Drosophila melanogaster: one gene and its partners. The protein of the gene in region 2 binds, or shares a complex with, the protein of the main gene of each other region. Each region holds a gene or a part of one and is shown on either strand. Other genes may lie near its edges.

The links. The genes of interacting proteins can lie anywhere in the genome.
Region 1: PolA2 (region 2) and Prim2 share a complex: the UniProt entries of both Drosophila melanogaster proteins name them as parts of the alpha DNA polymerase complex.
Region 3: PolA2 (region 2) and PolA1 share a complex: the UniProt entries of both Drosophila melanogaster proteins name them as parts of the alpha DNA polymerase complex.

What each region holds. Positions count from the first base shown.
Region 1 is NT_037436.4:20,359,281-20,363,440, forward strand, and holds Prim2 (DNA primase subunit 2), read right to left. Parts: upstream 2,306-4,160; 5' UTR 2,228-2,305; coding exon 626-2,227; 3' UTR 553-625; downstream 1-552. Other genes in the region: CG5665 (uncharacterized protein), read left to right, coding at 1-540; Toll-9, read right to left, coding at 2,760-2,967, 3,029-3,156, 3,227-4,160. UniProt on the Drosophila melanogaster protein: Regulatory subunit of the DNA primase complex and component of the DNA polymerase alpha complex (also known as the alpha DNA polymerase-primase complex) which play an essential role in the initiation of DNA synthesis.
Region 2 is NT_033777.3:27,237,230-27,241,734, reverse strand, and holds PolA2 (DNA polymerase alpha subunit 2), read right to left. Parts: upstream 2,573-4,505; 5' UTR 2,462-2,572; coding exon 632-2,461; 3' UTR 507-631; downstream 1-506. Other genes in the region: CG17991 (uncharacterized protein), read right to left, coding at 1-403; CG31064 (uncharacterized protein), read left to right, coding at 3,912-4,505. UniProt on the Drosophila melanogaster protein: Accessory subunit of the DNA polymerase alpha complex (also known as the alpha DNA polymerase-primase complex) which plays an essential role in the initiation of DNA synthesis.
Region 3 is NT_033777.3:21,666,010-21,673,600, forward strand, and holds PolA1 (DNA polymerase alpha subunit 1), read right to left. Parts: upstream 5,742-7,591; 5' UTR 5,637-5,741; coding exon 5,621-5,636; intron 5,563-5,620; coding exon 5,368-5,562; intron 5,315-5,367; coding exon 4,296-5,314; intron 4,231-4,295; coding exon 1,670-4,230; intron 1,610-1,669; coding exon 1,131-1,609; intron 802-1,130; coding exon 605-801; 3' UTR 553-604; downstream 1-552. Other genes in the region: Jhbp16 (juvenile hormone binding protein 16), read left to right, coding at 1-127, 244-517; CG31176 (uncharacterized protein), read right to left, coding at 7,351-7,591. UniProt on the Drosophila melanogaster protein: Catalytic subunit of the DNA polymerase alpha complex (also known as the alpha DNA polymerase-primase complex) which plays an essential role in the initiation of DNA synthesis.

The DNA.
Region 1 (4,160 bases), on a different chromosome or scaffold from region 2:
GGACATTCACTAGGAGCTCACATTATGGGCACTGCTGGTCGGACTTTTAAGAAGCTTACCGGAAAACTTATACCCAGGATAACTGGCTTGGATCCGGCCAAGCCATGTTTCAGGCGGGAAAAGATTCTGCCAGGATTGACGCGTGGCGATGCCAAGCTAGTGGACATAATCCACACCAACATTGGTATTTTGGCCAAGCGTGGACCCCTCGGTGATGTGGACTTCTATCCCGGCGGAGCACATCCCATCCAGCCAGGCTGCCTAACCATCGGATGCTCTCATACCCGAGCCGTTGAGTATTTCGCCGAGAGTGCATATCCACACCAAGAGAAGAACTTTATGGGCAAGAAGTGCGCTTCTTGGGATGAGCTAAGAAAACGGGATTGTTCTGCTGGCATAGTTTCCCCGATGGGCTATCGAATGAATCCCCAAGCCAGGGGCATCTACTACGTAGATGTCAATGGCTGGCCCCCTTACGGCCGAAACTCGGAGAACACTGTTGATCCTAGGCTTAAAACGTGCTACTTGTGCCGGAGGTGAAGTCCGAACCATGGAATAATATAACTTTTCTTATTTACGATGCTTAAATATATATGTACCTTAGTTAATTTATGTTGTACAACGTTTAGTAATCGATTTGCGTAAGATCTAGATCATCATTGAAGGCCTCGGATATGTCCTTTTGGCTCTGCATGATACGCTCCTGGGTTTCCGCGATTCGCCACAACTCATCGTCATCGTCACCCATCAGCATGGACCGATCCCCATGGCCCTTGATATCTGGACGGATTCTGGCCTTGGGCGGAGCAGAACCATTGGCGCGCTTCTGCCGGTTGCCCATCGCTATCTGGCTCTCCTCGAAGTAGTTGTTGGGGTGATTGATGCTCGGCTCGACGGGTGAATTGTGGGTAAGTTGGAAGTACTTGCCGCATCCAATTTGATAGTGACCGCGGGACACAAAGAACATCACCTCGTCGATGGCACTGGCTGACAGGCCATAGGAGGACAGCTTGGTTTTCAACGAGCCCTGATCCATGTTCTTATACGGACAGCCGTGGCAATCGCCCGGCCCCGCCACATCCTTGATAATCTTGGCGCACGAGTAGGGTGTGTAGTTGACCATGGAACCCTTCTTTCCGTAGTTATGGTAAATATTGTACTCGTAGCTGCGTGTAAACTTATCCGCGTCCATTTTCTTGGTAAACTCTTCGCGCCAGAAGCGCAGCGAATCCTCCAGTGCCACGCCAATTCCTTTGAGAAACAGGCCGTATTGCATTCGGCCGCTATGTTTTATGTGATGGTTGGCACGAATGTGCTCGTGGCACATGCGCATACACAACGGCATGGAGGTCTTGGAGAGCTGATCGAGCGACTCGATGGGCACAGCTGCATCCCGACAAACGGTGTAATCCCTACCGGTATACGAGTTATGTAGAGCTTTAAGTGTGCGGGAGATGCGCTCGTCGGCTTCTACATCCTCCACCATAGTCTTAGCAGCCTGCAGGCCTTGCTCGATCTCGTCCTGCTGCTTGGTGCCCACTAGGGACACCAGGTCGTGGGTGTTAACATAGGCGTAGCCAGCCTTTAAAAAGCAGCGACGTCCGCGCACCAGATCGAGCACCTGGGTGAAGGGCACCTTGTAGAAGTCCAACAGCTCGATCTTCGCCACGCTCTGTCCGACCGTGCTCTCGTACAGGCCGTCCTTGACTTCGTCCTTCTGGGCCTCGGTGAGGGGGTGAATCTCAAAGCCGTTGGCCTCAAGGAACTGCTTCACCTCGAAGCTGCTAAGTGCAGCGAATTTGTACCGGAAGAGCTCCATTTCGCGGGCCACGAACCAGCGCGCAAGGTCCTCGGAGCGGCAGTAGGCCAGCCGCAAGATGAAGTGCGAAAGATAGTCCCGCCTGCGGGTCTGGATATCCGCCTCGTGCTTGGCGCTTCCGCCGGTGGAGCAGAGCCTTAAATAGCTGCGCAATCCCTCGCGGGTCAGGTCCGCACTCACGATTTCCTTCCATTCATCTGAGAGCACGCGCAGGTTCCGGGTGCTTGCGCGATCCAGGACGCGGAGAAGGCGCAAGCGCTCTAGAGCCAGCTCCTCGAATTCGTCTATGTGCACGTCCTCCGTCGGCGGATAGTGGTACAGCATGACGTTGTGCGGGTACTTGGTTTCCAGGCTGGCCACCTCCACCTTCACCTCATGTCTCGCGCGTTTCTTCAGACCAAACTCCATTGTGAGTCGCGGGAATTGCTATAGTAATTTACAATTTGTGGAATGCCCGTTTGTTGTTTTGGCGCGCAAACTACTGATGGCAAATATCAGCTGTGTCAGTTGTTATCGATAGTTTTCTGCTCATTATCGATGCTTGCGGTTTATTCAATTTGTATTTCAAAATTAAACGTTTTTAATTGTTATTATCAGTCAATTGGTACTGATGTATTGATTGTGTGTTGCATTGTTAGATATTTCTTAGGCCTTAGCTTTGTTTACATAGTGTCCAGTAGTAGTAGGTTATGTTTAATATACGACGCTATTGCCTTTGTTAAGATATTTCAAAAACATCACATAAGCTCTTAAAAACCTAAATACCTTTATTTATTAATATATGTTTAAACTATACTTATGTTCAGCAGCAAATTTTGCATATTACTATGATTACTGTGGGGAAACTTTCGTCTTCATGAAAGTGTAATTAAGTAGTTTATATACTATATCAGGTACGTGCACAACTGACTAGAACTCTCCGGATAAAATTACATGTTTTCTAAACACTGATCTCTCTGGAGTTGATCCCTATGACCTCCAGGGATCTCTTCAGACGTTTCCAAAACAGCTTTCGATCCTCCTTGGCCGTCGGCCACTTTATATACGTTTTCACATCCATGAGATATTGCAAAGTCTTGGGTCGCTTTCGCCGTGGAATGTCCTCCAGAAAAACCAGGATCAAGTGCTCCTTGCTGACCTCAAAGATGCTACAATATACACACATATATTGATTTTAATATTTGAATTTTACAGATAAAGATTCCTTACCGATGCTGTGCCAAATACATTTCAAATTGACACCAATGACTCAACAGGAACTTGGAGGATATGATCAGCATAAGGGAATACGAGCGATCCATGCAGGAGATGATGTTATCTAGGATGGTCACTCCAATCTGCATGTGAATTAAGGGTTAAGGTTTCACTTTATTAGTAAGTTAATGTTGTAAGATAAGTACGCTTCACCTGAAAATCTCTTTCATGCAGACAAATGGACACATCCCCAGTTTCCTCCACGTTCGGCAGCAGTTCATTGAGCACCCAGGTCCGATCATTCTGGCAGTAGCTGATGAAGATATCGTAGACGGCACTGGGATCTCTCTGGGATATGTTTGTGAATTTATTCACCGACTCCTTGGACGCACTGGACAACAAGGCAGCGGACTTCAGGGAAGAGTAATAGTAGTGGATGTGCCAGCGCTTCAGATAAATTATAAATCCCAGGATGCAAGCGCCAACTAAGCTGCCCATGACTGCGATCACTGTGTTCGTAACGTGGTGCAACTCCTCGGCGAGGTCACTCATCGACCTGATCTGGCAGTTGAGCTCATCCACCTGGAGCTGATCGGTGTTGTTGAAGCAGTAATACTGACTGGCCTCGTAGTCGAGCAGCTGAAATTTTAGGGTAAGATCTCCGTCAAGGTCCCCTAAGTGGTATGGCTGGGCCGCGGAGCACTTGGCTACCATGTAGTCCTCGGAGGAGAAGCGCAGCTTGATTATATGATTCGCGCGATTGAACTCCCTGATGTTGGAGTAACTTCTCTGCAGCCAGGGAATATAGCGACTCTGCCATAGCTTGCGATCTATAATTAGTGACTCCGCCAGAGATATTACCTCCTCACCTACGGCATTCTGACTATAGTTCAGCAGTCTATAGGAGCAGTCTGCATCTTTATTATTGGCGGCCGCCACCTCCACCACCGCTCTCAAATGGCAGTCGCAAATAAAGTCGTTGTCCCCGAGACTAAGGTAATCCAATCGCTCAAAGTCCTTCAACATCTCGTTGGACAGCATGTTGATGGTGTTGCTTCTCAGGTTCAAAACCCTTAGGGCGGAGTTGTTGTGGAAGGCACTGCGGTACCAATTGCCCACATGGTTCGAGCTCAAGTCGAGGATCTCC
Region 2 (4,505 bases):
TCTGCAAATATGTTTTTGCTCCGAATGAAACCGCTGACCAATAGGCAAAGACCACCGTGAAGACATTGGCCAGGCAATTATATAAGTTTGTTAGGATAAGATCGTTGGTCAGCTCCAAAGCCCTATCGAAAATCCAGAGATTCGGGTATGCAATGGTGTACTCCGTTTGGCATTGTGGACAGGAAACGGCTTGCAGATTGTTGTTTATTCGGGTCTTCTCGTCGATCCAGAGGGAAATGCAGCTCTGGTGCACCCACTTATTGGTTCCTCGGCAGAGACATGGATTCACCCAAGCCTGGCGACCTGCCTCCTTATCGGTCTCAAAACAGATCCAGCAACAGCGCTCCAGTTCCGTCGAATCTCCTCCAGCTGAAGCTTGTGGCGCAGCAACGTTGCTAGCCATTATTGATCTTGTTGTATATAAAACTTGAGTCTGAGAAAACTCCAGGGCATATGTTTACAAATAATACAATACCTACTTTGGCCCAAAATAACTAATGCTAGTTGTTTGTTGTTGAATGTATTTTGTGAAAAGTTATGACAAAGTAGTGTGTTCATTATATTAACTAATAATATTGTACTGATCTATTTCCCACTATCCTTTCCTTATCATCATCACAAAGTGGTCAGGTTAGATGCGTTGGACTTGACACGCCACACTGTTGAACATGTTGGCCGCCTTTCCCGGCACCGAAGGCGCCACCAGGAATCGGGCGAAAGTTCCACCCTTCTTGTCCGCGACACGGCCGGGATTGATCACCAGGCAGTCGTTGACCAAGCGGATGAAATGCCGCTGATCGCTGGGCAAGATGAGCACATTTGGTAGCTGTTTGAGCTGTGCATATTTCAACGCCAGCTGGGAATCGTAGGCCATGTCTTCGTCCGCCGGCGGATACAAAGGATAGAAGGAGCCCTGGTGGAACAAGTGGTTGATGGCCCTGTGCATCCGCTCGCCGGCATTCACAGCAAACTCGTGACTCAACAGGTGGTCCACCACGTCGGTTGAGGTAACGCCCAGCGTAAAGCCATCCAAGTCCACCAGAGATGGATCGGGCAGCATGTATAGATTTGGATAGGTTCTGCGCAGAGCGGGCGGCGGCGTTGGATATACGGAAAGAGCCATGGCATCCTTCTGACTGGTCACCACCAGCACTGCTGTGTGACTACCAATCGACTCCATTATTCCCCCAATCATCTTCTCGAAGAATGTATCGAAGGTCTCGGCCAGTTCGCCGACCATCTTGTGATCGGCATCCAGGAATGGTCCCGTGAGCACCAGCACGTCAGGTCTGTGATCCTTGAGGTACTTGAGCAGGTCGTGCAGCGGTTCGTAGAAGAGATCCGTACTGTCCGTAAAGGGTCCGGAGGCCACCACAAACTGAAGCTCCCTGTCTATTTGCAGTGGCGTTGCTGGCGTCAGTTTGCGCTCTGTGTGTATCTCCTCTACCATGAAGGTTTTGCCCCTGGGTATGAACCCTTTGGCGAGCACCACTTGACCTGGGAATATGCTGGCAGACTTGACCCTGGAGAAGTTGAGCGTGAGCGTTGGGTCCATTTCATCTTCTACATCGTCATCTAAAACGGCCATAAATGCGGAGTGGGCGTCCAGTGGGCCATCGTCCTCGGAATGAATCATTCCCACCGCGTGGAGTCCACCTGCGGACTGCAATACCTGCCTATCCTGCGGATACCAAATGCACTCGGCTGCGCCTGCTTGTCCAAGTTTCTTGTCCACTAGTGCCGGACCGGTTTGGTTGAAGCGGACGCGCAGGTTGTGACATCGGTCGGTCAGCAGGTCGTTCATGTAGCCCAAATTTGCGATGGTCAGCGGGGCGTCGTTGTGCAGCAGTTTTTGAGTCACCGGAACCGTGTGCTCCATTTGTGACTGCCAGCTGGAGCCAGCCAGGAGTTTGGGATGTCCGAAGGTGTCAACTATATCGCCCGGCTTGCCGGCCACTGAGTTGGATGGTGTTTCTAAACCTGCTTTCCTCTTTGCCGATTGGGGTGTATAGCTGGCGGGGCTAAAGAGTGCGGCGCCCTTGAGATTGGCGGTCCGATCCGACTGCTTCTTGGCCTTGGGCGTGTGCAGAGCGGAGGAGTCCACTGCCGATTCGCTGACATAGTCATCCAGCATGGGATCGTCCTCCATGACGCCATAGGTGGCCAGTGAGCTCGTATCCTGTACAGAGGGCGAACCATATGATTTCGCCTTCTGGCCAGTTGCCTTGTATCCCGCCTTGTCCTTCCGCAGCTGCAACACCTTGCGCTCAAAGTCGCCCAGATTCTCGATCGCAGGATCCTCGCCTTGGAGGTGCGACAAACTGAAGGCCATCCACTGCTCCACGAACTCGGTGGCGTCGTGGATGTTGTAGGTAATGGCCAGCTCCGCACACCTGCCCAGAACTGCGTCCGCTGGCTCCACGCCCATCTCGTCGAACTGCTGCTTCAATTCCTCCTCCATTCGTTGTCCTTTCGTTGGGCGTTTAATTTTCGTAAATAAACCTAGCAATTTATTTTGGCGGTAAAAGTGGGCACAGTGTTGCCACCCTATGATGCTTTTAACACCTGCTTGAGTTTTCTTATCGATAAGCATAGTCAGTTCAATAACATAACAGCTCCCATCGAGCTGCGATAACCGTGATCTGTAACCAGTGATTGTTATCGCCCATCCCCAATCGCAGTGCAACAGCTGTTTTAATTTTGTATTGACAAACTTTTTTGTTTACCCGCGTTCAAGCGCAAAACAAGCGAAATTAGCGGCTGTAATCGCGTCATTTTGATTCATGTGACTCCGCACAGTGTCCTGATAATCGCCGCGAAGCAAGTGATTCGCCATGAGCACGGACGATCTGCTGGTGCGCCGCGAAAGGAGTGAAGACTCCCAATCCTCGAGTGTCTCCATTCCGGTTACGCCCACCACCGGAGGTGCCGCGCCTGCGCCCAGCGCCCCCACGTCATCGCTGGACCGCCTGCGGAACACCTTCCGGCGCACGGAGAGCATCTCCTCGCAGATCTTCAGCCACATATCCACACAGTTCTCGAATGCGGCCGCAGCAGCCGCCTCTTCCGAGGTAATCGATGGCACCACCACGTACCCGTATCCCGACGAGCCCGCACCACCTGTTGTACCTGTTGCGCCGGACACGGTGGCGAGCGCCAGTGCTTCATCCCCGTCGCCATCGAAACTGAAAGCAAAGCGACTGAAACGCGGTGAGTCCGAATTATTATTCATTCGATGATAAGCAGCAATGGAAACCAAATTTCCATTGTGCGCTAATAATAATATGTTAAGTAATAATGTTGCATATATAAAATATATTATATATAATATATATAAATATATACACATATATATTTAATATAACAATTTAGGTACTCAAAACTATTCTAAAATGTATTTATTAATTAGTATTAGCAATTTCGTGGGCTGTGCGAAACTGTCGTTGAAATATTTCGGTACTTGTATAAATAATATGATTAAAAATAACTTAAAAGTGCATTGGGAAAGTGTCAAAGGTGATTTGCGCACCACACACAGCGTGACCATCGAGAACACCCCCAACGAAAGCTCGCGAGGAGCTTGCGAGCTTGGCGCACTGGACAAATCAATAGGATAAAGAACTTTTTGCCAGTCTTACTCAACGCGTACACAACAGGATAACGGTGCAAAATCAAAGCGGCGAGAACTTTCGGTTATTTTGTTAATTTCAGAAGTAAAACCCTCTGGAAAAGAGGTTTACAAAAGGAAAAAACCCCTCTAAGGTAATGAAAAAACAGTTGAGGGAAAGCGGCAGCAAAGGAAACTCGGAACTTATTGAACAGCTAATATCGATATATGTATATATCTGTATTTTTATGGACGCCCACGCACACACACACACTACTCAGGCGTACTTTGAAGCAGCAGCGAAATGCGTGGACTTGTCGAGGATACAAAAAGGACCAAGTTGTCGTCGGCGAACAACAACAACCTCAGCAGCACCAGCGGCAGCGGTCGCATCAAGTCGAGCAGCCTTGCAACAGGATCAAGTGCCAGCGGCAGCAGCTCGAAGCCCTTGAGAAGTGCAGTGAAAACGCCAACATCGGGCAGCGCGACGTCATTGTCGTCAGGAACAATGGCTGCCAAGAAGGCGCCTCAAACGGGGCAACAACAAGTAGGCAAGTCTGCAAAGTCCGCCACGGCAGCAACTCCAACTGGCACAACAGCAACAGCAATTGGAGCAACGGCAACAACAAGGGCGCAAGCAGCAGCGGCGAAGAGCCAAAAGGGTCAGAATCCACCCTCACAACAAGTGCAGCCGAAACAGCAGCCGCCACAACCGCAACAGACACAGCAGCAACCCCTGGTGTTGCAGCAACAACAGGCGAGCAACAGCAGCAATACGATTGCCTTGCCAAAGGCATCGCATGCCAACACCAGCGAGGAGCTAGCCGGCGGTGTCCAGGACACCATTTACCTGTGCAATTTCCGGGTATCCGTCGATGGCGAGTGGCTGTGCCTCAAG
Region 3 (7,591 bases), 5.6 Mb from region 2:
AGCGCATCGTCTACACTCAGTATTTCCCCGACAAAAGTCTGGAGGGCGAGTACGAGTTCGCCGCCAAGATGCTGGGTACTGAGATGAACAGAAAAGGCCACTGGAACCTCACCCTCTACGATTACAGGTGGGCACCGAGTTGCATGGAAATATGTATTTCCCAAGCTGTGTTGCAAACACCAGTATTGTTGATAGCTTTTGGCTTACATGACAACCTATCGCTCACTTTATTTACTTCCTCAGTCAAACCACCAGCGTTAGGCGCATCGGCGGTCCGGGCTCACTCATCAAGGTCCATGTGGAGGTGGACCGCATCGGCGGAATGGAGCTGCACATTGAGAACTTGCTGCAGGGACAGCCCCTCAACCAACTGGCCGATGGAGTCATCAACAGCATGTGGCAGCTGGGATTGCCCTTCATCAAGCCGATGATTAACGAGTTGGTTAGCACGGCATTTACGGATATATTCAACGAGTCCTTCCGGCACTTTCCGCTCGAGAAGTTCCTCGCCACGTGACCTCATCTAGTTAACCATACTGTATCTCTGTATCTCTTTTGTAGTATTTTTAATGGAACTTATAACAAAGGCTAGTTAATTAAACACTTAGACCACATCCGCCAAAGCACTCGGAATTGCTTCGATCTGGGGCTGCGCCACGGACGGTTGCAGGGACATCTGAGCCAGGGATCGGGCAAAGAGCTTGCTTAGCGAGATGATCACGTAGGAGGAGCTCTGCAACTGCTGATCCACCGTTTCGTATAGGAGTTGATAGGCCTGCTCCAGCTCCGGTGTGAGGGTGGCTTGATAATATGGACAAAATATAATTTCAATATGAAATGCTGTAAAACTTAATGATACCAATCTTAAGGGAAATATATGTATTAGGTGTCAGAACTAATATATAAACTACAACAATTTTTAAGAATTCAAGGATACAAGCATAAAGAACTACTGAAATCCGTCGAGATCACGGGAACTATAAAATATTTCGACTGATTTTTCCTTTCATGTGTCTTGTTATTTAGTGTCGATATTTCTCTCTCGTACTCCACATTCTTCATTTTGTTCTTATACACAAACTATTGTTTTAGTTTTTGATACTGCTTATAACTACATTGTATTTACTTACGTTTTTGCTGCAGCGTTTGCTTGCCGAGGTCGAACATGAATCGCAGGTAGCACAGCTGATTGTACAGGTCCCGCTCCGTATACTGACGCAGCAGGCTGCCGCTCCTGCACTTTTGGCACAGCGGGCGGTGGGATTTCTTCCTCAAGGAGTGTGTGCGGGTGTTGAAGTTGCAATCCGGGTGATCGCAGACCAGCCAATTTTTATAGAACCGTTGCACATACTGCCGCATGGAAAGCTGCAGCTGATTGCGCACGCTTGCCAGGTACTGAATCGGTGCCGTTTGGCACTCGGACTTAGCGCATTGCTGGAGTACGGCTATGTGGGAGTTGCTTGGACCCGGTCGGTACGCAGACGCCATCAGCTGCTCCGTCTTACAGGTAACGCACTGGAAGCGGAACGGTTCGCACAGGCGATACAACTGCAGAGTCGTCTTGAGCAGGGACTCACCCTCCGACTGCTCGGTGTTCTCTCGCTGGGTTCTACATAACCAAAATATTCGTTAGGTTAGAGTTTGTAAGGAGTAATAAGATAGTAAGTACCTCTGCGCATTCTGACGGAACTTGGTTGGGTCCATGCCCAGACACTCGGCGATGCGACTCGCATCGGTTCCCTCCAGCACCTCCACCATTCGCGTGACTACCGGATGGATCTGGTGTCCCAGGTAGTAATTCGTGTCCAGCTGCAGCTTCTTATCCTCACTGGTCTTGAGCTCATCCAAATGGTATGCTCGCTGCATGGCAGCATTTGTTGTCCCATCCAAACAGATCACATAGTCCACCATATCGCCCTTTTTGTACCGCCTATTACGCTCGCGATTCATACGAAGGGCCACCTGGACGTGGGGCAATGAAGCACTATTGGCATATTCCTGGGGAGTCCGAGTTAACTGTTTGGTGATGACAAACAGTGGCAGCGGTACTACACCCTCTGCAATTTGAGTTTTGATCTTCTCCAGTTGGGCATGCACTGCATCCAGTTTCTCCTCCAAAGGCTTTTCCGACAGCACTTCATCGAGAACGGCTTTTCCCACCATTACAGCCAGCTGAGACCAATCGCGACGTACTATATCCAGGCCCTTGTGCTCCTGTTCACGCCTCAGGTTTCCCTTGGAATCCTTGCTCAACTTGATAGCGGCATACTTCTTTTTCTTCAGCAAGAGCAAACAGCCAAATACTCCATCGATATCCAATTCCAGCTGCTTGTATAGTTTATTTACACTCTGCTTAATATTGTGACCAATCTTGTAGACCTGGTCGTAGTCGGTTATGTTGGTATTTATCATCAGGGAATCTGTGTCTCCATAAACAACGTCATAGTTCATCTTTTGCACGAGTTGTTGTGTGTTCGTGAGGATTTCTCTGCCCTTGTGGGTGACCAAAGCAGCCAAGTGCTGGGCAAAGAACCGGGAGTGGGCGAAACCCAAGCAACCATACATGGAGTTCGCAGTTAGCTTCAGGGCCATCTGCCGAATGTGGTACTGCATCTGGAGTTCCGGCGAAAGATCAGGCGCTGCCATTAGCTTTTTCACCTCTTTTCGCGACTCCACCAAGCGTTTCAATTGAAGGGGTAAGATTCCAGGTTCCGTTTTCGAGTCGGGTAGGGTGGGCAACTCATCTGCATCCACCGGCTGTTGGACGGTGGTGAAGCATATGTTGTACTCCTGTATTATACTGGGGTACAGGGAGTTAAAGTCCATGAGGAGAACGTACTTCTCGTAGAGACCACGCATGGGCTCCAACACTAAGCCACCAGCATAGGCTGCCTTCTTTTTGGTTTGCATCGTCGCATCTGCACCTGAAAGCGTAGCATCCGTATCTCCTGCACCACTTCGTTTAGAAACCGGCTTCTTGTCCGGCACTATGTAATTCTTCTCGTGGAAGGCATGCAGCAACAAGAACTCATTTCGTTCAGAACGACCTCCTTGAAGGGTCCTGGTCATGGTATTGCCGCAGATATTAGTGATTTGTAGCGCCAACGGCATGATGTTGAGCTCACACATCAGCCTTAGTAAATATGAATTGTCCTGCATGGTGAGCGATATGAGCTTGGTAATGCTTTCTCCTTTCTCATACATCTCTAGCAGATCATCGGCATTCACTTCCATTCTCTCCGATTCCTTAAGCTTCAGTACTTGTTTGCATAGCGTTTGCAGATCATAGGATCTTGCTCTTATACACTCCTCTGCAGATCGCTTTACATCACAAACCATTCTGCCGACGAAATGTTCCAGCAATCGCTTGCCAAACGATTGGCTCAGCCTCAGTCGCCCCATTCGAGACCATTGGGGAATCTTCAGGGCTACAATTTGATCGGTTATTACATTTAGTTGACAATCCATGGAATCGAAGGTTACAATGAGATCTGCATCTATTTTCTGGTACTGAGCTAAGAACCAACTCAACAGGGCTCTCTCTGAGTCATGTTTGTGCACTGTGGTAGACTTATATTTTGCCATCTCAAAGTTCAAATCTAAAGGCCAACTAACCACCGCCGGGCGAGTCAAAGCGCACATATGTCGATTGAAAGCGGGCTGTGGAGCAGGGCGGTCGATATGGAAACGATTGTGGGTCAGCATGGAAATCATGCATATCTCGTTTCTCGATGTTTTCGGATTCATTGAGGTGCGAACATTAAGCGATAGTAGCGTAAGTGGAGGTGGTGGCGCTGGCTTTCCCTTATCTTGCACCAACTCTACATTCTTGGGCTCTGTCAATGTGACCTCGGTGTTACACCAACTCATGGGAGTTGGGCTCACCTTGAATCCAGTCACCTGCAGCCAACAGGGACCTTTGATTTTCCGATCTAAGAGGAATCTTTCGAGTGCATTGGTGGTGGCGCCGAATATGTGTGCTATAGAATTGTATTTCTTGTCAGCCGACAAATTGGGCAGTGGTTTCTTTCCATCGTAGTGAACCTCCAAGTAATCGCAAGATTGCGGAACTTCAATACCGATAGCGTGATGGGCAAAACTCTTGGTGACCTTGCGGGATCGAAAGAACTCGAGCTTCAGTTGGTTTGCCACCTCGCTGTCGAACTCCTTGTATATGTCTGCGACGGTCACCTTCTGCTTGGTGGGCTCCTTCGAAATGGGATCTAAGAGCTAAAAGAATATATTCAGAAACAACACTTCACCTAAGGACTAAGTATTTGTAGAATAATACTCACAAATTGTCGGGGCAGCAGATAGAGCACACGGTTGATGTTCTGTACACGCAGACAGACGGACTTTCCATCTGCGGTCCGACCGAACAGGAAGACTTCGCCGGGCATTTTTACTGGATCCTCATAGGCCTCCCAGTACCAGAACCGAAGCTGTTGATCTGAGGAGATTGTCGAATCCTGCTCCGTGGTGAGCACGGACTTTTCAAAATCATCGTCCATTTGGCATATAGACTCCCAATTGTTCAGCAACCTACTAATGTCCTCCGATTCCGATTCCTTTGGCGATCCAGTTGTTTCTTTTTTGGGAGCTGATTTTTCGGCGACTTTGCTTTGGGATGTTTTCTCAGCTGCTGTTTTCGTTTGGGAAACCTTCTCGGTCTGCTGTGTCTTCTCCACATCAAACTGGTTTTCATCGTCATCCAGACAGCTAAAGTCCATTTCATTGTCGGAGAATGGATCTTCGGTGGCTTTTTTTGCAGGTGTCTTTTCAGGCATGGGCTCTTTTTTGATTGTAGGACTGGAGAAAAAGGCCACCTTTGTGTTTGGAACTGCTGCCTTGGGCTTCAGAATGCGCTCCAGCATCTCGTTATCGCTACTGGCCTCCGCTTTCTTACGTTCCTGCTCCTGAACTTTGATGTTGTTTAGAAAACTATTCATGTATTCCTTGGCAGCGGCGGCATCGAATTTACGCGACGTAACTGATATTTTCGCTGGGGCTATAACCTTTTCCGCCTTTTCTGACGTCGCTGCAGGCTCTTCCTTTATTTCGCCCAAAATATCAGCAAGGATATCATCGTCTTTCACACTGGTCTTTACATCCATCTTTTTGGGCACTGCATTGCTGAATAGATTCTTGATGGATGCTTTTCCTGTTACTGGTTTTTCATTCTCCCGTGGTCTCTTTTTGCTGTTGGGGGCAACACCCTTCTTCTTCTTCGAGTCCTTCCGATCCTCCTCCCCATCGGAGTACTCATCTTCGTCCTCGAAGAAATCCCGAAGATCTTCTGCATAACCAGTACCATCTAAAAGTTAAAATTTAGTATTATAAAGTATAGAGTTCAGAGTTCCAACTTACCCTCTTCGATCCAATCGTCACCGTACTTTTCCTGCGCCCTCTTCGCGTACTCCCGCTCATCAACCACATCGTATACATCGTCCACCTGGTCCTCCACTTTGCATTTGTTCTTGGTTCCCTTCAGCTGACGCAGTCGCTCCATGGCGGCGAACCTACCATTTTTGTCTACTCTCTGGCGCTTAGCGCGCGGTTCAGCTGGAAATTTATAATTTCGGTAAAAAATATGTTTAAGGGAGTTATCTTATTAACTTACACGGTGATTCAGACATTGCAACTGGCTAACTTTGATAATAATTTCCCCGTGTTGTGCTGCAGTTTGCAAAAATTGTTTTGTGACCAGGGCTGGAGGATGATCAAAGCGGGAATGGCGGGAACATATCGATAACAGAGCTACGATACATAAAGCGCTGCCGGACTTTTGCAATGTAATATCGATAGTGTCGTTAAGAAGAGGAAGAATGTAAGGAAATTAAAAAAAATAAAAGCCATACAATAACTTAATCCCAAATTGCAATTTTATTATTAAGTAACATCTCTATTTTATGAATTTCTGAGTGGTAATATATCGATAGGTGGCAGCGCGTTATGTTAGCTCTGGGCACTGTTAGCGTCTAATCTGTAAGCACAAATGATCGATTACAGTTAACACGAATAGTTAACATAACAGTTACAGCGATTTAAAATGACTGCTATATTTTGGCGGGAAATCCGACCTGATAATTGAAATGAATTCACCAAGTAAGAAAGAACAATGATCACCATTTAAAGGGCGTTCTTTTAGATTTTACATTTTCGAGCTTCAGCTTTTTAATTGCAGTGGATCACAAAAAGAAAAACTTTTCCATTAGCAGTTGCTCCATGAAGATCCCCTTTTAATGTGCTTGTCATATGTTTTTATTCCCAAATTAAAAGACAATAGTTTGTTTGGTTTTAATCGTATTTTATTTATCATGCATAATATTAGGCTTATAAGATATATATAATATTATACTTTAAATACAATATACAGCAATTTCGATTAAAATTTGTGTGGATTTGAAAGGTGATTTCATACCCTATATAATTATCAATGCAAAATCATGGTTTATATATATACACACATACACAAAACAGACTTACATATTACATGAATACATATATTTATGACTATATTTGCTGTTTAATTGTTATAAGCAAAAATTCGTACATATTTACAATTTAATAGTAAATATTTAGAATTTCTGCACTTGCAGTCGTTATATTTTACAATTATTTTCGGGTGTGTTGGTGAGGAAAGATTTCGGAAGATGAGAAAATATGGAAAATACTGTTTTAGGATAGGGTGATCGAGAGGAACTATAGAAAGGATATTAAAATGTCAGTCTACCAGAATGTACAGCAAAGCAGATAAAATAAGATAAAGGAGGGCAGTTAAGCAAAGCAGATAAAATAAGATAAAGGAGGGCAGTTATTTAGGATCCTTGAGGTATTTTCTTTAGCTATGGGGTGTGTTATTCATTTCTATATGGTTTTCATTTTTATTTCAAGCCACAGACATGGCACAACAATTTATTATGTTTTTTTTTTATGTTTTAAGGAATTTTTCTCCGTGTATGGTTTCCATAGTTTTGGCTAAACATTTAACAACAGCAACAAATATAAAAACAACAAGAAATAATCGTTAACAAGTGCAAGATGATACTGAAATGAAAAGAGAAGAAAAAGAATCAATGAATAATTCAGTTTACAATTGGTTTAATATTATACTATGTTATTATGTAACTATATTAAATCAGAATATAAAGTGGGTTGCAATTCTTATTCCAGTATAATTACATTGCTTGCTTAAATGTATTTCATATTTTTCTAAAGTTTATTTTGTATCAAAGAATTATCTTGATCTGGAGTATTCTTAAAAATACTTAAAAAACAAAAAGTAAATGTTATTACCTTGCTCTGTGCCTGCACAGATGCAACAGATGCTAGACCCACTGTTCACGCCCTTCACACCACCTGCACGGTGGCAAAGGCACTAAAGGTGACCTTCTTGGGGAACTCCGGTCCGGGGGAGCCACGCGTCTTGATCACCGGCTTGAGAGGCTGGCGGGGCTTCAGGGAGAGCAGTCCGGCGGAGGCGGCCAGTTCCCTGAGGCGCTGGGAGAAGCCGCTGCCTGAGTGACCGGAAGTGGTGGCCGCGTTGTGGTGCTCCAGTCCAGCGCAGTCCAGAACATCCAGGCCGTTGTTC